4 linked regions of the Medicago truncatula genome follow. The main gene of each other region encodes a partner of the protein of the gene in region 3 in a complex. Links are inferred from orthologs where the notes say so. Each region holds a gene or a part of one and is shown on either strand. Other genes may lie near its edges.

The links.
Region 1: the proteins of NADH dehydrogenase [ubiquinone] iron-sulfur protein 1, mitochondrial (region 3) and NADH dehydrogenase [ubiquinone] flavoprotein 2, mitochondrial are in contact, whole or in part, in a cryo-EM structure (PDB 8BED), measured with the Arabidopsis thaliana proteins. The link is inferred for Medicago truncatula from reciprocal best matches to the Arabidopsis thaliana genes EMB1467 and AT4G02580. Residues at the interface, in NP_568550.1 of Arabidopsis thaliana: Val203, Lys205, Val225, Ser229, Gln235, Asp236, Leu237, Gly238, Ile239, Leu240, Gly241, Arg242, Gly245, Glu246, Glu247, Gly249, Thr250, Tyr251, Val252, Glu253; in NP_567244.1 of Arabidopsis thaliana: Asn33, Tyr34, His35, Leu36, Val90, Met93, Ala103, Ile105, Arg106, Tyr108, Glu109, Thr112, Phe113, Tyr114, Ser115, Arg119.
Region 2: the proteins of NADH dehydrogenase [ubiquinone] iron-sulfur protein 1, mitochondrial (region 3) and NADH dehydrogenase [ubiquinone] iron-sulfur protein 6, mitochondrial are in contact, whole or in part, in a cryo-EM structure (PDB 8BED), measured with the Arabidopsis thaliana proteins. The link is inferred for Medicago truncatula from reciprocal best matches to the Arabidopsis thaliana genes EMB1467 and AT3G03070. Residues at the interface, in NP_568550.1 of Arabidopsis thaliana: Pro167, Leu168, Asp169, Cys170, Pro171, Ile172, Met198, Lys199, Arg200, Ser201, Val202, Val203, Asp204, Val214; in NP_566191.1 of Arabidopsis thaliana: Ile69, Ala71, Pro83, Ile84, Glu85, Phe86, Ile87, Cys88, Asp90, Leu91, Lys98, Tyr99.
Region 4: the proteins of NADH dehydrogenase [ubiquinone] iron-sulfur protein 1, mitochondrial (region 3) and NADH dehydrogenase [ubiquinone] iron-sulfur protein 4, mitochondrial are in contact, whole or in part, in a cryo-EM structure (PDB 7AR8), measured with the Arabidopsis thaliana proteins. The link is inferred for Medicago truncatula from reciprocal best matches to the Arabidopsis thaliana genes EMB1467 and FRO1. Residues at the interface, in NP_568550.1 of Arabidopsis thaliana: Gly61, Gly62, Ala63, Arg64, Val65, His66, Lys87, Gly88, Phe89, Thr90, Gln93, Glu96, Val97, Asp101, Arg104, Tyr107, His108, Ser109, Leu111, Ser112, Ile113, Ala135, Gln175, Glu178, Cys179, Asp180, Asp183, Asp266, Lys288, Ala289; in NP_201560.1 of Arabidopsis thaliana: Ile55, Tyr57, Ser58, Pro59, Ala60, Arg61, Thr62, Ala63, Thr64, Gln65, Ser66, Ser68, Leu71, Val79, Thr81, Leu82, Lys83, Glu85, Thr92, Asp103, Lys126, Lys128, Lys129, Asn131, Thr132, Pro133, Leu134, Leu135, Lys136, Val137.

What each region holds. Positions count from the first base shown.
Region 1 is NC_053043.1:51,113,720-51,121,190, reverse strand, and holds the start of NADH dehydrogenase [ubiquinone] flavoprotein 2, mitochondrial, read right to left. Parts: upstream 3,014-7,471; 5' UTR 2,913-3,013; coding exon 2,856-2,912; intron 2,764-2,855; coding exon 2,731-2,763; intron 2,644-2,730; coding exon 2,578-2,643; intron 2,235-2,577; coding exon 2,118-2,234; intron 292-2,117; coding exon 214-291; intron 118-213; coding exon 12-117; intron 1-11. Other genes in the region: formamidopyrimidine-DNA glycosylase, read left to right, coding at 7,041-7,269, 7,375-7,426. UniProt on the Arabidopsis thaliana protein: Core subunit of the mitochondrial membrane respiratory chain NADH dehydrogenase (Complex I) that is believed to belong to the minimal assembly required for catalysis. Complex I functions in the transfer of electrons from NADH to the respiratory chain.
Region 2 is NC_053045.1:37,849,131-37,856,337, reverse strand, and holds NADH dehydrogenase [ubiquinone] iron-sulfur protein 6, mitochondrial, read right to left. Parts: upstream 2,782-7,207; 5' UTR 2,695-2,781; coding exon 2,572-2,694; intron 1,138-2,571; coding exon 1,053-1,137; intron 914-1,052; coding exon 804-913; 3' UTR 516-803; downstream 1-515. Other genes in the region: transcription factor-like protein DPB, read right to left, coding at 5,477-5,708, 5,985-6,055, 6,707-6,805, 6,943-7,011, 7,140-7,207. UniProt on the Arabidopsis thaliana protein: Accessory subunit of the mitochondrial membrane respiratory chain NADH dehydrogenase (Complex I), that is believed not to be involved in catalysis. Complex I functions in the transfer of electrons from NADH to the respiratory chain.
Region 3 is NC_053044.1:32,876,072-32,883,682, reverse strand, and holds the start of NADH dehydrogenase [ubiquinone] iron-sulfur protein 1, mitochondrial, read right to left. Parts: upstream 3,015-7,611; 5' UTR 2,819-3,014; coding exon 2,416-2,818; intron 1,086-2,415; coding exon 839-1,085; intron 225-838; coding exon 1-224. Other genes in the region: nicastrin, read right to left, coding at 6,390-6,654, 7,592-7,611.
Region 4 is NC_053045.1:47,953,453-47,960,306, reverse strand, and holds the start of NADH dehydrogenase [ubiquinone] iron-sulfur protein 4, mitochondrial, read right to left. Parts: upstream 3,020-6,854; 5' UTR 2,933-3,019; coding exon 2,783-2,932; intron 2,381-2,782; coding exon 2,292-2,380; intron 1,698-2,291; coding exon 1,568-1,697; intron 1-1,567.

The sequences.
Region 1 (7,471 bases), on a different chromosome or scaffold from region 3:
GGTGAACTAACCATTTCGTTTCACTCCCAAGTGTTTCAATAAAGCTGCTTCAATTTCCCGTGAACCTCGTATCATACAAGGTGTTGTTCCACAGACCAATAAATGATATTTGCCAACCTGAAAATTCAAAGCAGGCGGTTGATCCAGTAAGTTTTGGCCTATACTACTGTGAATTAGCAGAAATAAAAGCAACGCAGAAGAAATGACTTTCACCTTAGATCTATTGAACATTGAGTAAAATGTGGCAACCTCATATACTCGAATAGGGGCAACCTCTATAACCTTAGCCACCTGAATGATTCACAAAACTGTTTGTTAATAAAGGATTTAAATAGCTTCTACCATTATTAAGAAATTTATTATTCAGTTTACAAACAATATGTAAATTTAGGACTTTCGGTGGTGTACCATAGCAATAGGAAATTACAAGCAAAACTCAATTAAATTGATCTGATAGGAACTAGAACAGAAAATTAAGAAATTAATGGATAAAACACTGTCACTGAATAAAGGGAAATAATGGAGAACGTATCAAGTATTATTTATGAAATGGAAAATACTATCAGTGGAATCACATTCACACTACCCAGAGCATGCTACATAGAAGAATACTCTCTGCTTCTTTATGAAGCACGGACACTCCTCGAATTAGGTGTGTCCCGATGTCGGACACATGTCGTGTCCAACACCAACACGACACCGACACATATAATTACACTGAATTATGCGATTTTCTCAAATTATTAGCGGTGTCAGTGTCCGTGTCGTGTCTGGTGTACGTATCCGTATCCGTGCTTCATAAACTCACCAATGATTTCAAAGATACCCGTTCACTCCCCTTTGTATCCATATAACAAAATTAATCACAACTAGTCCACCCCCACTCTCTACCACGTCAGCATTCTCTTCCTTGCTCTTCTTATATTTCCTAAAAAATATCCCTACGCCGTGGGCTTGGGCAGCTGATGGGGCATCAGCCCATTTGAGCCTAAATTCACATTGGGGCCTTAACATAAATGATAGTGACTACTTATATAGAAGAATGTTGAGTACATTTTTTTTTTTAAGGAAAAGAGTGTTGAGTACATAAACAACCAAACCTTGATGCATGCATAGACTTAAAACATAGAATGGTTAGTCTTCTAGATATCGCCAGCAATAATAACCAAAGCCTTTTTCAATTGTGAAAGGTCTGCTACACAAATCAATGGATGCTATAAATGGTGGTTTGTGAGTTGTGACAGCAAATTAAAAATCTATTATAAAAATTTAAGTTTATTGGATAGCGTTGATGCCTATAACAGAAATATGGTGGCTGTTATAAAAGTATTACACGCGTACACAGCATACCAAAAGTTTTATAATATGATAAAATGAAAAATTAACACACCAACAACAATAAACTACAAACACATTGCAAGAAATAAAATACACTGAAAGCAACATAATTCAAACATAGGATAGAAGACAATACCATGGGTCTCATAACATAGTTTTAAAATTAAGGCCAATTTGTAATTTTCCTGCTAAAATCCAATAGCAGGTCAGGATCCGCTACTGCAAACCAATATAGCAGCTACAGCGGGCACTATCTGGAACCGTGCCGTTACGACACCCACCATAGCGGTTTCTTGTTGCTACGCCTCTATAGCGCGCTATTGACTAATCTAATGGGAACCATCTTAAAAAAGGCTGCCATGAACTACCATTCAAATCTAAACTCAGTGGATATAAGGTAGGCTTGGTGGTGGGGTGAGACCGTGGTGGAGTTAAGGAGTGGAGTGATAAGGTGGTTAAGAGTTCTATCCCCACACAAAACATAACACTGACATTTGTCATTCCAAAAAACAAATGTATAAACCCCTTTAAATAGTCTAGCCTATAGTTGAATACTATGATCTTCCTTCACTTCTACCTGTTATACAGTATCTAATCTGCCCTTTGTTCCTCTTTGCTATATTTACAGGTCTTCTCCAAACATGCCCCAACTACCGAAGGCAATAATCTTTAATCTTTTTTACAACAGATGCTACCCCCAGCTCTCTATACAAAGCTATCATTCTGATCTTATCTTATCTGGACTTAATAAGAATATTTCACGAAAGAGTTCAACATACCGCATCCATTGCAGAAACAGGAAGCCAACCTCCATGCTGCTGCTGGGCAAGATCCAGCAGAGGAATCACTGCAGATTGCTTATAGTTGGATGGATAGTGAGATATAATCTCCTTAACCTATAATTAACAGAGATTAAAATCATTGGAACTTTAGAATCTTAAAAACACATCCTAGAAACTAAACAGGATCACATACATAATATCAATACGGAACTAATAATCCAAAAATCATAGAAACATTATTGATTAAACCAATCAGTAAAGCATATATATTCATAAATTCTACACCCTCTTATGCATTATTTTCTGCTCTAATTAGCTTTTAACTCTAAATGTTAAACTCAATTAATCATCAATAATCAAAGTAAAGGGTAATGAGCTGAATTACAGCTACATATTGATAAATCATCACACATTCCAAGTTTGAAATTTTAGAATTTGAAAACAATAAAAAAATTACCTTTGCTTTGTTAGCATCATTGAATTCCCATGGAAGATTGGGATTATTGTCCGGAGAGTCAAGGTGCTGCAACCCAATTCAAAAATTGATACAATCAACAATCACAACATTGAAAATGAAAACTAAGAAAAGGATAATTTGAAGAACACTTACGTAATTGAGAGCGGTTGAGAAAGCCCTTGATGGCTGCGAAAAAGGGAAAACACGGAAGAAAAAAAATCAAACAAATTGAAGATAAAAACGAAGAAGAAATAGAAGTGAGAGATTGAAAAGAAAACCTGATGGAAAGTTTGACGGATCTGGTTGAGACGATTTGCGGCGAGGCGTGCTAGCATTTTGGGAGGAACAAGGTGAAACCAAACAATGGATCGGAGGGAGGGGGAGAGAGAGAGAGAGAGAGAGAGAGAGAGAGTAGTGAAGAAGGGTGTAGTGTAAGAGAATGTAGAGATGTGGCACCTTGATGACCGTTCGATGATAACAATTTTATGTCGACACATGTATGGATGAGATTGCGCGACATTTTGTTTGGGTTCAAAACTTCGAATCTCGTCATGGGCATGTACCAGGGTTAAACTCTTGTGATTGTTGGCCGATCATTTTGGTTTGTATGACATTTTCGTCACTTAGGTAGTAGTAATATGTTTCTTTAGATATTTATACTATATACGAGGTTTTAGAAAGATTCTGGGCTGATTTTTGTTATTCTAATTATACTCTTAAACAAAATTTATATAATAACTGGTGAAAAGACGAATACAAGTATTCGTCTTTTCGTTCTTTTTATCGCGTTAAAGTTTGAAAATTATGAGCGATATTTTTTTATGAAATTTTGATTTTGATTAAAAGTATAAATATAAATTATTGTTGCTTTTAAATTATAACAAATCAAACTAGCATTGTTTACCTATTTCAATGAGATCAAAAATATAATAACAAAATATAATTTAAACTCTTATTTTTGTAATGACACCGACAACAATCATTATTAAAGAAAAAATTATTTTATAGTATAATTCGGATAATGAAAAAGTCAGTCCAAAATCTTATATAGGTTCGGTCTAGTTTGTTTCACTTTTTAAAGCATAAAGAAAATTTGGACATATATTCATATCGTGTTTGTTACATTTTTTATTTATTTTGAATTCACTGCATCAATTATCTTTTTTAAAGGAATAAAGGATAAGGAAAAATCCTCGTGAGCTTAGCTCAGTTGGTAGGGATATTGCATATTATATGCAGGGGCCGAGGTTCGAACCCCGGACACTCCACTTCTCCATAATTTAATTGTGTAAGCTCTAGCCACTAGGCTACTTGACAACAAAAAAAAGATAAGGAAAAATTTGATATTTCGTAGACAATAAATATTGAATTTTTTACACTCTTTAAGTATTTGAATTTACTATTATCTATTTATTATAAGTGTTATTTGTATTTAAAGTTTGGGGTAATATGAGAAAAAGAAAATGTCATCCCAAAAAGGTCAAAAGGGGCTATTTTTTATATATAGTATAGATATAGATATTTATGCTTATAATTTTAATCTATATCATATTGTTGGTGTTATTTAAAAAGATAAGAATTTTTGTTATATTTGTTATATTATTGTTGTCATTGAAAAATGTAAATATGATTTGTTGAGTTTGTTACATTTGAAAATCACAAATATCTATACTTATAATTTTAATCTATATAAAAAAATCTATATAAAATATCGTTTGCAATTCACACGCAAAAAATTTATAAAATATAGTTCATAATCTACACGTGTTAAAACAATAAAAAACGGAAAGACGGCCACATGAGTGCACGTCTTTTTGCTCGTTAAATATAACATTAGTAATATGTTGTCTAATATCGCTCGTTGTTTATGATATTAAATATAACATTTGATGATATTACTAACGTTATAAGAATCGACAGAGACGCATGTATAAAGTTCAATGATTATGTTAAATGATATTTAATTAATCATATTTATTTAATTATATATACTTTTGTTCAAAAAAGAGGGTTGAAATTTAATTAATTAAATATGAATTAATTTAATTGATATTAGACTTACTTTGGGTTAAACCCAATCTAATAAGCATCAAGGGTTTGGTGACTTGTTCTTTATAAATAGAAGAAGAGCATGCACTACTTAAGCATGTAAAACTTAATAGTCATAATCCCTCGCATGGAACGGATATCACAATGTTTCAATTTGTGCTCATGTGGATTGAGTAGAGGCGATGTCGTTTGTGCGAGGCTCATGACCATCTTGCATCGTTTCCCATCATCACTTCAACACATGAATCTTTAACTGTGTTTAGGTTTCCATTTGAATTGTGATTAATGGTTTAATCAATATTCGTTATTGGGATTGTTTCGCTAAAAGGATTAAATTTTTGAAAACTCCTCTTGAATCCCCCAACAAATGTGTAGTAAACTTACACTTTTAATTGTTGGGTACATTTTTTTTAGAGTTGTGTTAGTTTGACCTCAAAGCTTGCCATTTTAGATGCATTACATAATTTTATTTTATTTTTGTTTTGATGGATTACATAATGTAATAGTATATTGTTAATTATGTTGAGTAAATGGTTAATGAATATTATGATATGTTAGAATTCGTAAGCCATCCACACACACTAATTATTCCGTTTGATCACTTTGTAAATATGAGTCAAGTGACAATGTAGATCAAAAGGTATACCGAAATAATCTCACTTAACTTCAGCTAAGCTAATCTTTAGATATATCTTACTGCTAACATTGGTTTATTTTGCAAAAAAATCATTTGAATACGAGTTACTATATTAATTATATAATGCTAACTATGTTGGAGATAAAATTAAAAGAAAAAACACTAGTGGTATCTGTCAATTTATTGGCGAAAGTTTATGCTTATATTAAATCAAGAGGCAAAGCACAATTGCCCTATCTACTACATAAGCAAAATACATCTTGTCAACAAGGTATGTCACATAACTTCTATGGATGAAATATCAACTTGAAGGTTACCAAACCAATGAGAGTAACATTTCTATGAAAAAACATATGTTATCTGATTTTCCAAAAAACCTATTTTACACTAGCGACAAAGCATATTGAAATTAAACATCATTAGATAAGAGACTCTGTTTAGAATGGTATTTATGAAATTAAGTTCATTGATAATGATCGTCAATGGAAAAACATTTTTACGAAACCCCTTGTCAAATATAAATTTAAACATTTACGTTTTGTGTTGATAAACCCCTTTGTCTTTCTCTTTCTCTCTGTTCTCTCACTTTTCTCCCTTTCTCATTGTGTTAATTTTACAGGTTGAAAATGATGAAATTTTTTTTTGAGGTAAATATCTTTAAATTTGTTTATCTTAAATAATGTTGAAACTAAAACTCAAATGTTTTGCTTTCTTAAATAAGAGTTGTTTTCAACTTATTATTCATATTTATGTTTTCAACTGATTTATGATTAGTTACGTGGTTTTCAACAAACAATGTTGGAACTTTTTACGAAGGCATTTTACTTTCTTGAATAATAGTTGTTTTTAACTGATTATTAAAACATGTATTTTTTCAACCAATTTCTTATTATCTACGTGCTTTGTGTATATTTTTTCATAATTTGTTCATATGTTTTATTAGAAGAAACAAGATATATGAAGGCGTATTTCCATCATTGTTTTCCCTTTTTTGAAAGTTGGAGGTACAATGTCTTGAACGAACAAAATATTTTCAACTAAGTCTAACTACATCGTTAATAAATATAAGTTTTTTTGTTTTTGTTGAGAATTAAAAAAATAATTTTTACCTCATACCATTAGAATTCTTGATACATTTTCACAAAAGCATTCATGAAGCATTGGTATCCGATACTCCGTGGATACATATCCAAAAGTATCCATGAAACATTGGTATCCGATGCAATATGTCTCCATTTTGGAGTATCCTAGCTTGCACCATTAATCCACTATGCTTAAAAATAAGGGAAATGCTAACCGGTACTCCCGGGGCACTGGTTAAGGATAATAAAAAGGAAATTATATGTTAATTATTGCATTGAAAATTGTTTAATTAATCCATAAATAAGTCAACAAAACTTCATTTTATGGTAATAATTTCCCTTTTCAATGCAATAATTAATATATAATTTCCCTTTTTATTATCCTTAACCAGGACCCGGGGGCACCGGTTAGCATTTCCCAAAAAATAATATGGATCAAATAAGGTGTTAGAATATTTCCATTTCATTTGCATTTATTCAATTTGGTGAAATATATATAAAAAAAAAAATTGAAAAAAATTAGAAAATAATTAATGGGCGTGGAATCACAGCCGTTGTTTGTCCCGCAGCAAAACCGCTATGAACGGACACGATTTAAACGCATGTTGAATCGTAACGGTATAACATAGAATATCGTGCTTGAAAGAACAGAGAAGCAACGCGGGAAAACTCCATCACAGTCACGACCGAGCATAATGCCGGAGCTACCGGAGGTAGAGGCGGCGAGAAGAGCGGTGGAAGAGAACTGTATCGGAAAGAAGATAACCAAATGCATCGTCGCCGATGATAACAAAGTCATCGACGGTGTCTCTCGCGAAGAGTTCGAAGCTTCCGTTGTTGGGAAGAAGATTGTTGCAGCTCGCCGGAAGGGGAAGAATATGTGGCTTCAGCTTGATTCTCCTCCTTTTCCTTCCTTTCAATTCGGTACTCTCTATCTCTCTCTCTCTCTCTCTCTCTCTCCCTCTCACTCTTACCTTTTGAAACCCTAGCTTACGAGTTTCTTACGATTTATGATTGTGACTGTGTTAGGTATGGCTGGTGCTGTATACATCAAGGGTGTTGCTGTAACAAAGTATAAAAGGTGAGGCCAATGGAGTGTCGTTAAGCTCGGTTACACCGACACTTC
Region 2 (7,207 bases), on a different chromosome or scaffold from region 3:
ATGTAACAGATACTCTTTTGTAATATAAATAATTATTAAATAATGCAATGGATTTCTGGTCAATACCTTAATTTCTTTATATTTTAAGTATAGATCTTATTTGGTACTTGAATGATGAAAAAAATAATAAAAACTACAACTTTCGTATCGAATTGGAGTGAATTTACTAGATTTTATTTATGTATTCTTAGTAAAAGGAATGAGGGGTAACATTGGTGCAACTGATAAAGTTGTTGTCATGTGACTAGAAGGTCACCGAGGAAAGAGCATCTATGGAAGTATTTATGTTTTCCTTACTTAATAGAAAAAGGAGTGCGTACATACTTAAATTCATCTTATAAAACCAGCCATGCTACTCTTTTGTCAGGACTCACTTTGAATCTAATGACCAAAATCAATTTTACAAAATCATTCATTAAAAATTGAATTTGTCGCACCTGAACCAAACATACACTAAGAATGCATTCAATTGTTACTTTGATTCGAGAATGGCAATATTATCATGGACTTCGAGCTTGCAGGCTATGAAATAATACTTAAAAAAGATCGCTCAATGAAGTTATACCTCCAGCTTCATACAAATTACTGGCTCAGCATAGTACAGACACAACAATGTAAGACCCCATCTGTATCAGATGGTAACATGAACAATTTTGTCATATTCTTATTTAGCAAATTGTAACAGACAAGTACATTTGTTACATCATATGATTTGGTCAGAGAACATTGTAACCAAAAACACATTAATGATGTTCAGCAGCAATTTCCTAAATACACAACAGATGATTTGTAGACAGCATTTCCTAATGGTGGTGATCCTGAACATAACGTAGGCCACAATATTTGCAGACAGCTGGCTTGGCCAAGTCAAGGCATATATATTCAATTGGGTGTCCAAGGGCAGGATCAGTATCTGAAATCACAGACAGCAATATCCAAATTAATTAAATCCTCCTACATAATCAACAAAACTTGACCTGTCAGATCTTTATCTCTTTCTCGCTTATGCAAGGAAGAAGAGAGAATAGAAATTTGCAAAATTTGTAATGTACCTCCTTCACAAGCAACTATCCTGCCTTCGACCTTAATAGGTGGCACTTCATTGATCAGCTCCATTGGAGATTTCTTGCTTGTATCCTATTACAGAAGAAACAAATGTAAGTTTCACAATTTCTTGAGCAGAGATCAGTAAGCATGAATGATTTAAAATTCCAGTAGTGGAGCTAAGTGCATGTTTGGATGCAGTTGATATGAAAAATGATTTTTCTCCATGAAAACATGCTGGTATTTTTTGTTACTTCACACCAGAATTATTTGTCTCCAGATCTCAGTTTGGCTAGCAGTGATAAAAGTAGCTTTTGTATTAAGTTGAAAATTGTACACAAGGTTTTACATCAAACTTGCTTTCAGAGTAAAAACATCCAAACATAAATACTGCACTTCAAACTCAATTTTACACAATCAATTGCATTCAAAATCACTTTTGCATTTGCTCACCCAAACATTTATTTAGCTAGCTAATAATTTAAACAACACAACACACTGGAAGTTGGAGCCAAAAAAAAGAAAACATTGGCATTAAATGACAAGTATTTTGATTTCGCTTTTGAATAAATAAGGGAGAAACCCCAAAACATCAGAACATCACTAAACAAATTCAGAAACATTGAAGGAAAAAGCATCCCTGAAGCATCAGTTAGAGTGAGGGATATAACTATTCACTAACAGGAATCCCTTGACTCCAGCATCCAGTTAGAGCAGTTGCGGAAACCTGTTCAAACTTTACACCTCCTCACTTTGTTTCTTAAAGTTTCCATCCTCAAAATGAAGATTTCTTCCACACAAGTAACCTAGAAAACCTCACAAGCGGCAAATTGTCATCAAACTTTTCTATCACATCTTCTAATCTCTCCCCTGGTCCATACACTTATGCTCAAACAATGTTGTGTGATTGAGTGTTGTATACAATGAGCAATAACATGTAACAAACAACTAGCTTCCCAAATACAAAGTTCGCTAGAACAGCTTCCCCAACAATCTTAACCTTCCAAGGGCCCATTTGGATTGGCTTACTTTTTATCTTATGAAAAATAGCTTATGCAAATATATAAGCTTTTATGTTAATTCATAAGTTCTCACTAACAAAAATTGTATCTTCATAAGCTGCTTTTTCATAAACTACCTTAGCAAGCTTATGAATAATACATAAAAGCTTATTTATTTGCATAAATTGTTTTGCATAAGCTCAAAAATAAGCCAATCCAAACAGGCCCCAATTCATTAAACTAATATGCCAACAAGGATCAAACCCTTTCTCATATAATCTCAGGATCCATTAATGTGTAACAAACCAAATGCATATCAATAATTTATATACATTGCGACAGAATTCCCTCATATCAGCAAATTTAATCAATAATATATAAAAATCCCGATTAGGAAGAGAACTATTAACCTAGTCACATTATTCTCCGCTCATTTCAAAAAATTCAATGAAATCAAATAAACAATGTAACAAATTAGAATTGAAACAATGCTAAATCAAACGTATGAGGTGAATCGCAAGGATACCTGCATCCATTTGGCGGTATGGTTGCTGATTTGAGAGGTTACGAGGCTGAAACTTCTCGTGGCATTGGTCGTTGCCGTCGATGAAGAAAATCTTGTGAGGTTTTTCAGAATGCTCGATGCCATTTCACGAACCCTAATTTCAATCGCAAATCAACAAAGAAGAAATAACCTCGATTTAGATCAATGAAATGAAATGAATCAAATGGAAAATTGATTGAATTTCAACCAACGACACGCTTGATTGGGAGATTTCGGTCTTTTCCTCACGGGTCATCCCATGCTTTGGCCCATCATCTAGATTACTATCCGTACCCCCTATGTTTTATAATACATCACATCTTTGTCTAAATTATACTCTCTTAATTAAATAATTAGTGGAAAGAAATGGTTTAGAAAAGAAAGGAGAACTACTAAAACTAGCTAGGTTTTTTTGGTAGAGATTAGTCAAGTCGGTGAAAATTTCGTACCAGTGACAAAATTAACGAATATATATTGATGATGTTTATATTTTAACGCACATTTATGGAAGGTGATAAAAGTTACACCTCATACTTGAACTTTAAAAATGTCTCATACACTGTTGTTCTATATAAATTTGTTGATTTGAATTATCTACTAACATAGACACTTGTTTTAGAGATTTGTGGAAAACTTATGACATGTCCATAAGTTATTTCCACTTATTTTCCCAAATTCTTAATAGTTTATGGAAAATAACTTATAGCTTAGAAAAAACTTACAGTAATTTAGATTGTGTTATAAGGAGTTATATATCATGTTCATTCAAACATGGTCTAAATATCGTATGCACCAATATATATTCTGCAACTACTAGAAAAGAGGAGAATAAGTCACAACCAGTGAAACTTTAACAAATGATTAACTGCAATTAGTTCATGATAATGTCAATATATTCTGAATTTTTACACACATAAGAGGAGTTAAATAAAGACATATAATTCATAGAGGAGAATTCTCATGCTCGAGCACCGATAGCACATCTTATCGTTCAAGAGGACTTAAATATAATTTATGGTTTAACATATGGAAATCATTCTAAATATGATCCCATCCATCACCAAGAAGTTCCACCACGGTTCACAGTGAAAGAAATTAAGTTATCTCATCATAACATCGCGGATTAGAAACCGAGAATTTCCACTCATACAAAGTAATGTGCATGATATCAACTTATTAAAAAAAAAGTGCATGATATCAACATTTTCCATATGCTTCAACATTATTTTTTTTTTGACGGATCTTCAACATCAACTATGTCTCCAATAAATTGATCTGTATATAGCAGAACAATCTCACGTTTAGGGACATTCTAATGTGACATGAAGATTGAGTCAAAGTATCACACGAGAGTGCAAAAATAACATTCTGGCCCCTCATCCCATGGTGCCAATTTCGGTGGGCTAAGTCCATACAGAGCTTGTTCTGACTTTAAATGGAACCCCCGCAAGTTGGCGGTACGATTCTTGGATTGGATACCGAGTTTTAAAAAAGAACATTCTGGTCCCTCAAGAACTACAAATATCATTCATACTTTCTTGTAACTTGTAAGTATGTCACTTTTGTTCCTCGAGAATCAAGATGAGAATTTGCATTTCTAAACACATGTTCACCAGAAAATTTTGCATATCATTCATATATTCGTAAGTATGACATTTTTTCACCAGAAAATTCCCATCCTTGAAGTTGACATTTAATAATCTAGACAAACAGCCACTACAACAAGGGCACAGTGGAAGACAATGATTCTAGACAAACATACTTAAATTGGGCAAATTACATTGATTTCCCGTAAGTTTTACTCAAATGTCAATTACACCTGTTATAGTTTCCCAAAAACACAAACCTCCCCTAAGGATAACAACTTTAGACTACAGTTTCATATACAGAGAGAAAACTTCTTAAGGTTAGACGTCATAACTTCCTTCGCATAAAAAGATATATACCAACAGGAATTTTGTGAAAACCATAAAATTATGTTCTCCATATGTTCCTCGACAAAATTAGTGTCATCAAATAAAACACACAAACCGACATAAAAGGCAGTGCTGCACTTGCAACCAATATTTTGATGTGCTTATGTTGTTTCTTTTTGTTGTTCCTGTTTGTTAGACTGATTTGTGTTTCGGTAGATTTTACTTTCCATGAATAAAAGGGGAACTTACTAGCAAGAGGAGCAGCAAAGAAAGAAGGTTCATACAATTAAAGAGAGTGTGGAGAATTTAATCAAAAAGAAACAGTGTTAAGGTGGAAGTGGAAGAGAGGTGATTGTCATTTTGAAGAAATATAAGGTACGTTAGTGTTCACTTAAAAATAGAGGGGGTGCTTTTGCTATTTAAGAATAACTTACAGGTGGTGAATATAATTTTCCTTTTTAAATAACACCTAAATCCATTATGCTGTTAATGATGTTCCAGCCAAAAATCAGGTAACAAAATTTCCATTGAAGTTGAAAGAAACCACAGAGAGCCTCACAAGGACCCTATCAAACGATACAAAACAAGATGCATTGGTCAAAATACCACAACTAATATCCACATAAGTTGAAAAACTTTACAAATTACACTGTAAATCGGGGAAATCTGAAATTAATCCTATGTTGTTGGACTCCATTCCATGATCTCTTATCTCTCTAGCTACAATGCAGGAAAAGTTACCACAAAAAATGTGGAGAAAAAAAATCTGCTAAGGTAGTAAATGATGGATGGTAGTAAAAGAGTCTAACCTAAACAATAAAGAGGCAAACAAACCACTCTGCTGCTGACCTACCAAATGACTTGTCTGTATTGATAGCTAACAATCACGAAGGTATATTAATTGGGAAAATTTCTTTACAGAATGTACAGACATGCTTAATTAGGGTACGACGATATCATAATCTTGCAGATCAATGCTCTTGTTTGACTCTTGCTTTTAATATTCCAGGGAGTGGAGGTGATGTTGGAGGTCTAGTTGACACGCTTGAAGCTGAAGGAGGAACCTGTGACTGATGCATGCCTGACATGCTAGAACCTTCCCCTCCATCTGTAACATTGTGTGTAACAATATCACTCTGTGTTCTATCACCAAATTCCATTGCCTTGAGCACATAATTGTCATCATGCAACTCAAAAGGAGTACTGCAGAAAGAGAAAAGAGAGTAAATATAAATAGGAAGTGGCAGTACATCTCACGACAAAGACACAAAAGCAATGCCACCATAACAGCCTCCCAGAAACTCTACATGAAAATTCTTTTAGTGGCCTCTATTTGGCCATAATAGGAGACACTAGTTCCAAATTACTGATTTTATGACGATACTTAATTAGGAAGTCTTCACAATGAATAAGACAACATCAGACCTAGATAATCACGCCATAACTTAGAAAGAATGCCAAAGGAAAGTGAAGCTTTACCTATTAAAATCAAAATGAACAAGCTGCATGTCTTCTGATATTTCCACTTCAACAGTTGCATGAGGACGTGTCTACAGTTTTAAAAAGCCAGAGATATGAGATTAATCAAATGGTAATACCACTAAGAGCCATATCACATCCGCCAGCAGGAGAAGCAGATTCTTCATTAAAATTATCAAGTTATAAACTTTCCTGTGGCCAAGAATTTAACATATAGACCCGACATAGCATTGAGCAGATATAAAGCCAAAAGGCAACCAGAGTAAAGTTAACTTAACCAAATGAGCTGATAAAATATCTCTAGTTCATAGTGTGTGTAGCTGTTACATTCAGTAGACAAATTCAAACAAAATACAAATGCTCACAAAAGCGGGAAAAAGGTATTTCTATGAATTCACTAAGCAACTGGAATGAGAAACCATCTCACAATAAATTTAATAATTTAAAATTCAAGTCAACTAATTCAGTACATGTTGTGCAGTGAATTGGTGTCAATCATACAATTGAAGATCCAAGGAAAAATTGGCAACATTTGCTACTGGACAAAATAACCAAAAGAGGCACCAACTGAGGTTGGGTATAGCAGAAGAGGCTAGTCTCCCATAACGCAAAACCCGGCTGGAAGAGGTGCCCACATTTAGTGTCAAACATTATTACCTCCAGTGAAGGGAGCCTATGGGAAACAAAACAAAACAATAGAGGAAGTTGAGATGATGGTTTACCTGTACCAGAATAAAGGGTAAAGATACACCTCCACTGGGAGGATTTCCAGAGCTATATAATTGTTCATTTCGTTTAACAAGGTTCTGAAGACCTACAAACTTGATGCAACAATGCAAGTAGTTAGCAAACAGAAACTGAACACTACAAAATGAAGTAATTATAATCAAGTGCAATTTCAAATGCAGCAAAGGATCTCATTCCCATATTAAATATATTCTGAGTAGGATGGACTTACTTGTTCCTCTAGCTCCTGCAAATAGGATGATTTCCTTTCAATTCTATTCCTGAGCCCAAGACGCTCTGTCTGTTAAATCAAATTAAGCAATTAAAATGGTCCTTCATTGAATTTTAGGATTAGCTCAGAATATCATTGCAGGTAAAGCATAAGACACATGGAGCAAAAAAAGTTACAACTCAAGACTGTGGGCAAACCTTTAGCTCTTCAATATCATTCAGACTAGTACGAGGAAGACCCTTCCATTGAATTTCCTTTTTATCCT
Region 3 (7,611 bases):
CATCAGTAACATCAATGGTCTCTGTATTCTTCAACTCCCAATTCCGGGCTTTAAATGCAAAAGGTTTTGAAGTGAGTGCTCCTACAGGGCAGATATCTATTACATTTCCAGAGAGTTCACTTGTCATGAGTTTTTCAACATATGTTCCAATCTCTTCTCCACTACCACGACCTAACATGCCAAGATCCTGAACCCCTGCAACCTCTGATGCAAATCTAACACACCTGTGGGAAGAAAGTGATATTCCACAAGATCCATTAAGGAACTCAGATAAAATAATCACGATACATATAACATTTAATTGACAACAAAAAGAGGAAGGCTACCAAATATTGAAGATTAGGTTTTACAAAATAGCCAACGCCTATTGCTACCAAATGTCATTAACCATAAATTAAAAGAAACCTAGCTGGCCCTTAGCTGACATGAGAGTAAGTAAAACATACAACCAAACTAAATCATCAGTTCAGATTATTTTATTTTTGAAGAGGCATCAGTTCAGATTATTATTTTAATCATATACAGAAAAAGTTGACCCATAAGTTCCCTCGCAAACTATCATACTGTAACAATGACCACTGCTTAATTTAAAAAAATAAAAAAATAAAAAAGATATATATATATATATATATATATATATGTGTGTGTGTGTGTGTGCAACTCAATGAGGTCCTTAATTCTTACAAGATTATCATAAACATACTCTATTAACATGAATAGACCACTTGATACTTTCTTTTAGACATTAAAAGTCACAACAAATTTCTAGCTTCCAAGGTAAGATATAGTTATTAAAATGTGTACGTAAAGATAATCAAGTTTGCAGGGAAAAATGAACCTTGTACATTGAATGCACCGTGTCATCACAGTCTTTACCAAAGGTCCAAGATTTTTATCCACCACAGATCTCTTCATATCAGTGAAACGACCACGATCAGAACCAAATGCCATTGACTGATCCTGAAGATCACACTCTCCACCCTGATCACAAATTGGGCAATCTAATGGATGATTCATCAATAAAAATTCCATCACTCCTTCTCGTGCTTTCTTGGCAATAGGTGTGTCGGTCTTGATTTTCATCCCTAAATTGAACATATGATCATATTACATTTTTAACAAGAATCAAAACAATAAATAGTTAAAAACCTCAACTAAACAAAATCAAGGTCGTTTATGTGTGTCGGTGTCATAATACCAAATGAATTTAAAAGTAAGATCGGGTAAAAAAAAATAGATGATATCCCCAAACCAGCTAAACATATGATAATTTTATATCAAATATCTCTCTAATTAAAAAATTAAAGTAGAAAGAAGTATAAGTTGTAACGCAAAATCTGAAAATCAGCGTATGCAAAAAAAACTTAAAGACAAAGTACTAGATTTTATTTTTGAACAAAACTAACAGCAAAAATAAACAGACAAAAGCTAAATCAAAAATAAAAACAGAAATTTCATCGAGACGGTTAAAAGGAAATGTAATAGATGGTTCACTAGTATCAAAATTCATAACACGTTCAACAAACTAAAAATTTGAAAATAACAACAAGCAACAACACAATCATCAACCAAGTTCAATACCCTTAGCCTTGAACTAATCAAAAGATCACTCAAGTCACAAACAAGATGAAACTCAAACAACAACAAACAATAACAAACGTCGCAATAATGTTCTATCATATACTCCCTCCGTTTCATAATACTTGTCCATTTTAGAGAATAATTTTGTTTCACAATACTTGTCACTTTCAAGTTTCAATGCAACATTAATTATTGTCTTGTCAATAATGCCCTTGCATATTTATTGTAGAGAAAAAAAAAAAGAAATAATAAATGGTTAAGGGTATTATAGAAAACACACACATATTTTCATCAAAAATAAGAAAATTTATTTGGTTTCTTGGTTACTGCAATTTCTCCAAAATGGACATGTATTTTGAAACGGAGGGAGTATCATATTTCTACCCAACTAATTAATCTCTACATATTTCTCAATAGTTTCTCTTAAAGTCTTTCTAGGTTAGCTTTGCTTCTAGTGATCAGACTATTCTCCATCTAATCTACACTCCTTACTACAAAATCTACAGGTCTTTTCTCTACAAGCCCAAATCACCTAAGTCGAGTTTCTACCATCTTTTCTCCAATAGGTGGCTACCCCAACTCTATCTCTCTAATATTGTGTTTTTAATTAAATTGTACCACACATCTAACACAACATCCTAATCTTTGCTATGCTTATTTTACTCTCATGTTGATTCTTTACCGTCCAACAATCCATCACATGAAACAAAATAAAAAAAATAAAAAATTAAACTTTTTGAGATAAACAAAACACATACAAAAAATTATCAATGAAATGCAAATCCAGAAACATAAAATAAATAAATAAATTAAAAAAAAAATGAAGAATCTAACCAGGAAGAGCGGGCATGGCGCAAGAAGCAACAGGCTTAGGAGATTTCTCAACCTCAACAAGACACATACGACAATTTCCAGCAATGGAAAGTCTGCTATGATAACAAAATCTAGGAATATCAACACCAGCAACCTCACACGCTTGAAGAACAGAGAATCCTTTTGGAATTTTAACGGGATAACCATCGACGAAAACCTCAATAGCGTCATCGGGATTGGTGAAATGGACTCTAGCGCCAGCGACGGGTGTACGGGGAGTGAGATCGACGAGAGGCTGTTCGGGTTGGGGTTGAGCGGCGGGTTCGGGTTTGCGGAGTTCTGGTTTGGTGGTGATTGAACGGAGGAGGAGGAGGCGAGTGGTGGTTGGTCGGAGGGTCTTGGAAGCTAACAAACCCAGCCCCATTTTGATTCAATCAATTGATTGTGAGTTTGTGAGAAAGAAGGGTGTTGGATCGGAGATGGGAGGTTGAATTTGAGAAAAGATGGGAGAGTGAGGTGGGAGAGGTGAAGGAAGAAGGAAATGAATTTTGTATGGAGTTATGGGTGAGATAGTTGAATTGATCCGATTTCAGATTCGGGTTTGCTTCGGACCCGTTTATCACATGCTCTTAGGCAAGTAGATATATAAGAGTTGTATTATTTGAATAACCATTCATGTCATAACTTCTATAGCTATTGACGGGAAAGAAATTAAAAATATAATATTAGTAAGAAAAAAAAATTGTCATAAAATGATTGTACAAATATCATTTATCAAATAAAGAAATGATATTTGTACGTTCATTTTATCACGACTTTTGAGATAACTTTTTCACTCTATTCTCAATATGTTTTTACTTTATCTTGCTGTTACTTTGATTTTTGTGTCAATACCTATTTTTTCTTTATAAATATATGGTTGTTCAATAAGTTGTCAATCAAGTGGTTGTTCAAATAACACATCCCATAATCTTTTTGGAAAATGTAAAGACGATGTCTAGAGATATTGGTTAAACAACTAAAGCAAATAAATTTTTAAGAAAATGGAGTGTAATCAATATTTGATCAAACATAAGAACTTATATACTTTCAAAACAAATTTTTTATTTATGGATTCCTTAAGCAATGTCCACGGGACACGGGCACAAATCCACTATATTAAATGGGGGACATTTATCCCGTGAGCTTAACTCAGTTGGTAAGGATATTGCATATTATATGCAGGGGCCGGGGTTCGAACCTCAGACACCCCACTTCTCCACAATTAAATTGTGTGAGCTATAGTCACTTGACCAAAATAGGGGCACTTGACCCTACTCCTTCAAATATTTTGTAACTAGTCATTAAAATTTATTGCCCCCTCTTCAAATCTAGCTTTGACCCCGCAAAACCACTAATTGAAACTTTATTAGATTGATTAATGTATGAGTTTTGCTAACAAATTTTCCAAGGACATTGTTTAAGGAACTCTCAAAAGAAAATTGTCTTAAAAATACAAGTCAAACGCATATAAAAGTCATAATTATATATTTTCAATGTAAAAGTTACTAAATTTTGTTGTATTATTTCATCTTGTCGTTTTTTTTTTTAGCTCCCTGTTTTCTAACTCTAGGATAGAGTTTGTTAGGCGACAAACCAACGAGGTTGCCCATGCTCTTTCAAGAGAAGTCACGTTACTAGCTAGTCCGGTTGTTTATTTTAATTTACCCGAATGTATTGAAACTCTTATTATCAATGAAATGCTATAAGCACTTTTCCATAAAAAAAAAAAATGTAAAAGTTATTACTTTAAGATGCTTAAACAATGCCCTAAAATATTGAAGATCAATTTTTAATAATTGTTTAGTTACATGTAGAGAAAATGATATATTTGAGAGTGTATAAAGACACGTGAAGAGAAGCTATATTTTTTAAATGTTAAGGTATCTTCAATTTTTAAGAAATAATGCTATAAATTTTTTGGCTTAATTATAAGGATATTACGCTTCAAGAGAAGTGGAACTCACTCGAATAGAGAGTCTAGGTTCGCGCATTGATAAAGGGTTAGTATAGTTAAAAGGCTTTCAATTCCCACAATGTAAGTGAGGATTTTTGGGAGCATAATCAAACTCATGTATGATCTTTACAGGTTGAGAACATCAAGCTGTTTCATGGTTTGCTAGAGTTAAATAAGTTACTGATCATATTCAACGTTCGGTTGGCCGTTTGGCTAGCTCACATCTCAGATGATCTTTTTTTTTGTTGAAGAAGCTAAACTAACCTATCTCAATTGATCTTTAATGACTCAAGTTCGTATGTTTAGCTATGTAGTGAGAACAACTGATTTTTGAATGCATTGATCGTGTAAAATTGTTTTCGAATAAAAATGAGCTGAATGTAAATTGTAAAGTGATATTTGTTTTTCGCGATAAAAAGCTCAAAGCATTTCTTTCATAGTAGTATCTTGAATAAAATGTTGAGATTTGGGATATCAAGAGAAACGTTCAATCCAACTAAAAATGGGGTCACCTTTAAAAGTGTATGGACAAGCTCATTGACTTATATATAGACAAACTCAACATGAGAGTTCCTTAAATCGTGTGACAAACTACGAGCACGATATGAAATAAATTTAAGAATAAATATATATTGTTGAAGCAAAAGCTCTTAATTTAACTTTAAATCATTATCCAGAGCAAAAACTAATTCTACTTAAAAGCAATCAAATATGTCAAAATCAATTATGTTTGAATTCACGAAAAAGACTTTGTGATAAAGTTGCAAAGCGTAGCTTTTGCTAAACTCTCACCTAAAATGGAACCAAACATTATTGAAAATAGTGACCAGTTTCAATTTCAAACGTTATTGAATCTTCATCGGTTTCAACTAACACTAAGTTTATACTCCCTCCATTCCTTTTCTTTTGATGTTTTAGAACTTCAACTATATTCCAAAACTTTTGATGTTTTAGTGAATTTATTATTGTTTTCTCAAGTTTACCCTTGTTGGAAAACACAATAAACTATTAAAGTACTTGTGACCTTTGGTTTATCACATGTGAATTTAATGATAAATAAGGACATTTAAGTAAAAAACACACAAATGTTTATATACTTTAATTACTCCTTAAAATTTGTGTCAAGAGCTAAAACATCAAAAGAAAATGAATGGAGGGAGTAGTATTTAGGGCGTTAATAGAGTAACCGTGTCACCTTTCATGCCTTTCAATATAAATGCTTCGGACATGAAGCCTATTTCCAAGTCTGCTTTCAGCCTTTCGATTTCAATGAAGAAAAAAATAAGCACGTCCACTAGAACTTTGGAGAACGTTGTACCAAAAGAAGAAACTAATGGCTTATTAATAAGCTTAAGTCTTTTCAATTTAATCAAGACACTGAGATGGTTTGATCAAAATAAAATAGATTTAATTCATATGCACAAATAGTCGATCACAATTGTTGAATCGCCATAAAAATAATGATTTGTGATTGATTACCAATATAAAAACTTTAACACCGACAATATATGAAAATTAATTTCAAATCAAATATCGGATCGATTGAAACCTCTTTTGTTGAGAAATATTGGGTAACATCTAGTAGTATATTTGATGTCTATTTCTGCTAAAGTATGTATTGATTAATGTTTAGAAAATCAAATTAAACGTTACATCTACTATACTTAGGTGTCGCAATTCAATTAGCTTAACTGGAACTTTAATAATTTAACAAGGATTAAATTAAAAATTACGCTGCTGCTCACTAACTAGGACTACAGAAATACACAACACAAACACACCAAGCTTTTTACTTTTTGTTTTCATTACATTTCCTAACACTTAACTACAAGTGATAAAAAATGGTCTTGTTGCAGATAAATTCACAAGCACAAGAATGTGGCCTAAATAATTCACATCCTTACAAATTTTCCAGAAACTAGTAATTTTCCTATCAACCTATTTAATTTTGCCCTAGTTTCACAAAATTTAGTAGTTAGCTTTCATAAATTTAATAGTGTCAATCCCTCTTTGTTGCTTTGGCAACGAAAGTTCTTGTAACTGCTATTCCAAGGTATGCCAAGAGTGTAAGAGTCATTCCCCCAAACAGAACAACCCGGTCATAAGCAGCAATTTGGACTGTGTAGATCCGAATGCCTACTGTATTCCAGTTACTTTCTGTCCAGACTGGATCTACGACCCCCATTTTGTCTGAGGAATTTGGGGGCAAAACACTCCATACTCCTGATTCAAATGATAACCGTGTTGAATATGCTGGAACGTACCTGTAAAAGATTTTACATCAATATTAAATTACCGAGCATCAACTTAGCCGTTTAATCATGTCAAGTTCACAAGTGCAGTACCAGGAAAATGGAAGCGGGCATATAACACGTGAACAGTCTAAACATGAAAAGCATGAAGTCTACTCCAACTACATGCATCGCATAAGCAAACTTAACAAAGGTGCCAATTATGACATAAATCTTAGAAACAGTATGGATTCTGTAATCAACTGGGTTAATCCAAATTTTTACCAAGTGTGGTAAATATGCATGCACATGAGTGTGAGAACCTGTGAGCGTGTATGTGTAGAAAGTCAATCCAACATATTTATAAACACATGATTTGAAATTAGCCAAAATCACATTTTATACAACCATTGTCAGCTATTATCTGCTTCGTGAAATATCAAATATTCAATTTAAAAGGTAAAAATATTTAGACATCATCCTAATCTGAAAACAAACATGGATTATACTTTATGGGAATCGTGGTTAGGCATAAATAGTGAAACAAATTGGGGGTACATCCTGTTGAAATTCGGGGCCTAACTCATCCTTACTAAACCGGCTTGTAAGGTGAGGATTGCCTCCTCTATATCAAGAGTCTTATCTATCCGATGTGGGACTTGGGTTTTTCCCAATACATCCAAGTTCCATTTTAACATAAGTTGGACTCGGGATCGGGACATGGAGGAGTTTTCCGTTCCATACATGGTTCAGTTGTGTTCCCATAAAAAAAATGCAGTACTTATCCAATTATGCACGTTGTAAACCTCAATTCAATTATAGGGGTAGAATCACAACATCAAATGATAGCAAGCATGCCTAATCCTGGAAAAGAATACCGATAAGAAACTACAGATATATCCTAAATTCAGGACCAAGAAATGCATATCCGTTTACTAAATCTATAAAGTACATTTAGACAAAAAAATACCTAGTTGTAGAGAGAACACA
Region 4 (6,854 bases), on a different chromosome or scaffold from region 3:
CTCGTGATCACACTCTTATTAATTGGACCACGTCATCCATATTTCAAACAATTTATTTGGCCACTTGTTACTCAGTTTCGCATAACATTTTTATTTTTTTTACTTTGGATTTCACAGTTACGAAGCAGTAGCAATTTGAAGGGTCTTCTCCATCCAACCACCACCACTATCCACCATTCTTTCTAATTAAAACCACCATCAACAACCACTCAAGTTCAAATTTGCAACGTAAGATCAAATAATTATAAAATTAACAAAAAAATTAACAGGTTGCATAAACCAAAGACAAAGCCAATTTGCATCAATTCCGATGGTTTCATAAATTGAAAATCTTTGAGTGGCTTAAGAGTACAAGGACCTGCTGAAGAAACAACCTCTGCTACTTCCACAATGGGAATCATTGTTTCGAATTTCTTAGATGGGTGTTTCTTTCGTGGATTCCTCTCCTGGTGATGGTGGGGCTTCTTCATGGATTGGATTTGATTTGGGTAGTGAGGATCTTAGGTGGGGTTGGTAGTTTTTAAAGGAGTTATGGTTATGGGTTGTAGCTCTGCTGAAGCAATAACCCAGTTGATTTTTTATTTTATTTTTGGAATAGAATGGGAAAGAAGTTGAACCTAGAAAGGTGGGGATCTAGAGTCCAAGGACCTGCAGTCACACATGGATGACTAAAGACCCCGAGCAACCGTTGGCCTCTTTTTTCCAGGAACAAAGTCATACAAAAATTAAAAATACACCAACTGGTTAAGCCAGTTAACAAGTTATAAGGTCGTCGCAGTGTATACAGGCGTGTGCTAAAAAGTGAGTGTCTGCGCGTTTGTATTTAGCATTTCTGTCTTTTCTATTACTAGCATAGCATTGACATGAGAAAGTTATAAGGTCTCAAGCTTAAATCCTCGTCCCAGGCACTCTCTAACCTCGGCTTTTGTTTCATAAGTGCTGTAGTCTCATCCTAGTCCTAGATGCAGAATGAGCTCAGTCTTTGTCCAAGACATGCTCTACCTTGTCGTTATTTGAATGCAAACCAACTCCCAACTTATGTTCTAGATGCAGCTTGAGCTTACCAGTCCTAGTCCTGGAAGTAGTTTAAACCCATCTCAGGTCAAGTCTATCCCTCATCTGTTTCTATTCCAGATGCAATCTGGCCATATCTGTTACAGATGCAGGCTTGCGCATCTGGCTTCATCTCATGCAGAAAATAATAGACTTATAAATTGAACTTTTTTATTTAGCAGCCTAATACTTGAAATTTTAAACGAAATTAAATGACTAACAAACACAGTAGCCACAGTTCAATGATAAACTCTTCATATCAGTTGAGAAGCAAGATATGCTGATTCTTGTAAGTTAGACTGCTCGGACAATATTGAAACCCTCATTCTATAGATTGTGATTTTAAGTTAATATCCTAGGCGAGACATGAGCAAGAGAAGGTGAACCAATCCATCTGATAATGGTTTACTTTAATAAGCACAAGTATGAAATTATGAATCATAACTGGAGCACTTTGAAGGCTTAGAAAAACATAAAATTTTATGTGACCTATGTTTGAATGGCAAAAACATACCACGTATTCCCAACCATGTCTCTCTGCAAATTCCTTTGCCGCTTCTTCAGTATCAAAATCCAACGCAGAATCACCAACATGGGAATATGGGTCTCCGGTGGATGTCCACCCCATCAGTGGATTTTCCCACCTATAGACATATTAGTTCACAGTACAAATTAAACTATTATTAGGTATTACAAATTTAACAATAAGATCAGTTAAAGAATTAAAGTATAAATTCAGGATATTATACTGAAACAACTAGCAACTCCTTAAACTACTTAGAGATGCCCAGGAAGAATCATAACATATGTAAAATAACATAGTGATTAAAACTCTGAAAATTTCCACATGTGCAGGAAATGTAATGTCAATGATAGCATAAGTTCCGCTTTTATGAATGAATTTCGATAAGAAATTTGTCAAAAATCGAGATATATGGACAACAGGGAAATGCATCCTCTCCATTTTTTTTCTCTCAAATTTTCTTAAGTTTCAAATCTCAACTCTTCATTATTATAAATTTCAAAACTCTTCACCCATTATATTTCAATGATATAGATATTCCACATTATTTCCTAGTGTTTTTCCTACATGAGAGAATCCTAATCCAGACAACAGATATCCAGCGCAGAAACATCAAACTTGTTAGGGAAAAATAATAAATAATTCGAGTTCTAAAACTAGTAAAACAATATCTAAACAAGCAGTGAAAGAAAAATGATAAACAGAGAGAATTTACTTCTGGGTTGATAAGAAGTTGATCCTCCATCTTCCAACATTCCCAGATCCTTGTTGACCAGCAGTTCTAGCAGGTGAGTAAATCAAAACCTGCCATCACATTGCAAGTATAAGCTAAACGCCTAATTGAATTTCAATTGTTAACAGGTGTTTAACAGGTCAATTATTTTTTTGTCTTTAAATGAAGTGATAAACACCACCTAAAACTCACGCAGACAACTGCAAAGTCCCGGCTTGGAACCCGGGTGAAGGTGTCCAGCCTGACAATATCGGCATTGCCGGTTAAGCTAAGTCCATTACATAGGATCTAATGATGCATCAATTATTTTGCAAAATTTCAACAAAACAAAACTTCAATTGAATCTAAAACAATTATACTACATATAAAAAATAAAAACTTTTATTCTACCATAATAATGAAACAAATATAATAAAATTGGGGAATGAAAAACCGGAAGAAAAAAAAAAAACGAAAAATTTAAAGCATAATACCCTTCTACGAAGGTGTTCTTGTGGGATTCCAGAAACCAAACCGATCTCGCCGGGTTTGGACTCAACCAATGCATCAGTGGAGAACCGGCGGATGAGGGTGGCGCGTAGGGAACCACCGCGACTCGCCGTGCGTAGCAGGATGTTCGTCATCGTTTGATGGGAATTTTGATTCTGCGGAGGATGGTGCCAAAGACAAAATGAACCTCCCGAGCCTTTCTCGTTCGCTTTTGTTCCGATAAATTTTTAGCTTGGCCCTTTTACTTTTACATTTTACAAATTTTCCCTTTCTTAAGAGTGCTTTTTAAAATTTTAAATGGTAGCAATAATATATATTAAACATTATTATAATATATTAAAATTACTATAACCATAATATAACTCTCTCCGATCAACATTTCACTTTTTAAATTCCTTGTATAACTAATATATTTGATTTATATTACAAACCGAATATATTAGTTATTCAAAAAATCTAAAAAATCATTTTTTGTTTATAATAGAGTCTGAAGGGAGCATATTAAAAGAACGTCTTTGTATGAATGAAGGATTGTGTATTGTTAATAGGTTGATAATAAATAACATAAAAAAGTATATAACTAACAAATATGTTAGTGATTCTAAATTTAACTAAAATATGATATTTCATGATCAATTAATTATTCATCTTTTTCTAAAGTTCTAGGTCGGTCTTTGCTGGCCTTAAAATCATTGGAATGCACAACAAGTGTAATATGTCATATATAACTTGTAATGATACGGGCCTTAGAAGACAAACTAAAACATTATGGATTATCCACTAAGGAAATCGACTTTAAAAAGAGAAAATACACCCGATTGTGAAGTATGAATGAAGAGAATTTATGATGTGTCCATTTTAGCATAACAAAATGACATAGTGTAGAAACTGAAAACAACCCCAATGTCATCCCAAAAAACTAACACACCAACATATAAGGAGTTTATAAGCACTGACATGCTTCTAACACCAAGGAGCGTATATCAAATAAATATGTGTAAGTGGCTATCTTGATAATTTTTTACGGTGACAAACAACACATATCTAGTAACGACCTCAACAATCACTAGAGTGAAAATAGTAACAAGATTAAGTGTATATGAGTGCATATAATATATAAATAAGGGGTTCACCCCTAAGTATGATGACTTGTTATCCGTTTTCATATTCGTGTCAAGGTATGTCTTATCTTACTTTGGCATCATGGTGTCTTTGCAAGTACACCTTCCTCGCCTGAAGAAGGAGCGTATGACTAGAGATGTGAAGATTACATCATCGACTTTGATGATCCATTTTGTGTGTTCACGCGTGAACATTGACGCCCACTGTGGAGCCCTCAGTAAGATTTACCAATGCATTAGGATCCCATTATTATGCCGGTTACAAAATGTCTAACATGGTGACTCTAATGTCTAACATGGTGGATCCATAAACTAGAAATTCACCATTCAATAGGCAAGTCAACTGATACAAAAGTTTCCTTTATCGGTGTTTTCCATCTCCAAGAAGACACGAAGTAGAAGGTCCCAAAAACCATGACGCGTCACCGCCTCGATGACATTGTCATAAAGAACAAACACTAGATAACACCATGTATAATATGAAGGCCCACAAGAAGAAAATGGTCTTAATCAAGAAAAATAAAAAAAACAACGGAGTAGTTCATCCGCGAAAGACAACGACTATGATAACATAAAACTCCTTTCGAATTGCTTTATGATCTTTATGCAATGACTCATGTTGTTTATCTAATCAATATATTACCCATTCCTATTTTGCAAAATCAGACTCCTTTTGAAATGGTGTATGATAAACCTCTGACTTTTCTGTTTCTACCTTGGAACAACATTGTACTAAAATTGATCCACGAGCAATAAAATGGATCTTCTTGAGATTCAAATTTGGTACAAAAGGTTATCTTGTCTTTGATCTATCTACTAGATAAGTTTTCATTACAAGAAATGCTATTTTTTCATGAATCTACTTTTGCTTATGTTGAAATTATTGATTATTTTTCTTAGTATTGATTGTACAAATCCAAGATTATTCAATTTTTCTGTTCAATGACCTTGTTGATTCTGCATAATGCACCAAAACAAATTACACTAAACCCATCTCTAATCCTTGAACTTCAGACCTACCATAACTTGTGACCTTTCATCGTAAAATATTCTCAATCCTTACCAAAAACTAACTTTTGACACAACCAAACTCAGACGATCCACTAAAACTATAAAGGCTCTTAACTGTCTCTAAGATTTTCATTGTCATCGTGAAACTCAACTATCCTCTTATACACCCAATTTGATGTATCTTTTACACTTTGTACTATCTTATCATAAATTATTTCTATCTAATCTTCATTACACATTTTCCATTTCCAATGCTATTGAACGCAAACCTATAAGTAGGCTATCAAATTACAAAAAGGGATTAATGCCATGACCAACAAACTTCGAGCCATTACAACTAAAAATGCTTGGTCACTAACCGCCTTATCTAAAGATAAAGTTGTGATTGGTTGCAAATGGGAGTATCGTATCAAACATAAAGTTAATGGCACTATAGAACGCTTTAAAACATTCCTTATGGTCAAAGACTACACTCGACAAGAAGGGGTAAACTCTCTTGATACCTTCTCACTTGTTGCTAAAATAACTATTGTATGTCTTTTACTTTCCATTGTAGTTGCTAAAGGAAGGATTCTTCAACAATTGGATGGAGTTGGCATCAGGTCTCATGCCTACCTCTTCTAATCAAGCATGTTGTCTCAACAAACCCCCTTTTGGTCTATGTCAAGCAAGTAGGCAATGGTTTATTAAATTGTCTTCTGCAATTATCATTATTGGATACCATCATTCAGAATATGATCACTCCTTGTTAATCAAATCATCTTCTCATTCCTTCACTATTCTGCTAGTTTACGTAGACGACATTGTTCTCACAATGAACTCCACATAAATCAATGTTATTAAAAGTCTTTTCTATTCATCCTTTTGCATCAAAGACGTAGGTAATCTCAAGTTTTTCCTTGGTCTTAAAGGTTCTCGTACCAACAAAAGAATTCACTTATGCCTATGTAAACATGCCTTAGGCATCACGGCCTCTAAATCTTTCCCCACTGATTGCGACCTCACTTGCAAAATTGGTCGTCTAACGCCCCCATCGAAAGTCACTATGATATCTTTGTATTTTGGTCACTTCATCGCCAACCAGTTTAAGATCTAATGTATTTGCTAGTGTTTTTATCGTTGTGTTTCTTTGCTTTTGTTTTGCTGTTATTTTTAGTTTATTTCAAGTTTGTAATACCCTAACTTTGTTCATTTTTTTATATTAATCTATTTTGTTCTCTTATAAAAATTGATAAATAATAACACTCATTAGATTTCAGTCATAAAATAAATAACATTCATTGGATTAATTTTATTATACAAGTCTCTTGTTTTGATTCAACTTAAGTACAATAAAAATACAAGATTTTGGATTACAAGCTCAAGGTCACAAATTAAAATTCAAAATACTCTGTTTCTTGTATTAATAATAATCTCATGATAAAACAGAGTTATAATATAAAAATAAAAATGACAAAAATAGGAAAGATATAAAATGAAAACAAAATACAGAAAAACTGTCTCACTAGTTGAGAAAGAAAAAACAAAGATAAAAAACTATGGCAAAGTATATGCATCGTATCCTTCCTCTTGACTCTTGAGGGCTCCTCCCAATTTATCTTTTTTCAATTGCTCTTTTCTTTTCCCTTTTTGAGCCGTTGTACCTTTGCTCATTGCTCTACATTTTCTGAAAATCACCAACTTTGCATTTTTGTCCTCTTCCTCCTAGCTACTTTATACTAATTTTTGGGTATAAATATATGAGACAAAATCAGAATAATGGAGACGAATTTTTTTGCTACCTGAATCACTGAAAAAAAAAAGAAAGTGGATAGAGGTAAGCTTCTCAATATTCATCATGTGTTGCTACTTGTTACTCTTATCACAGTTTCATCGTTACATTTTTGTAGCTCTCTAGCACTTGTTCCTTTGTCTTTCTTCTCTG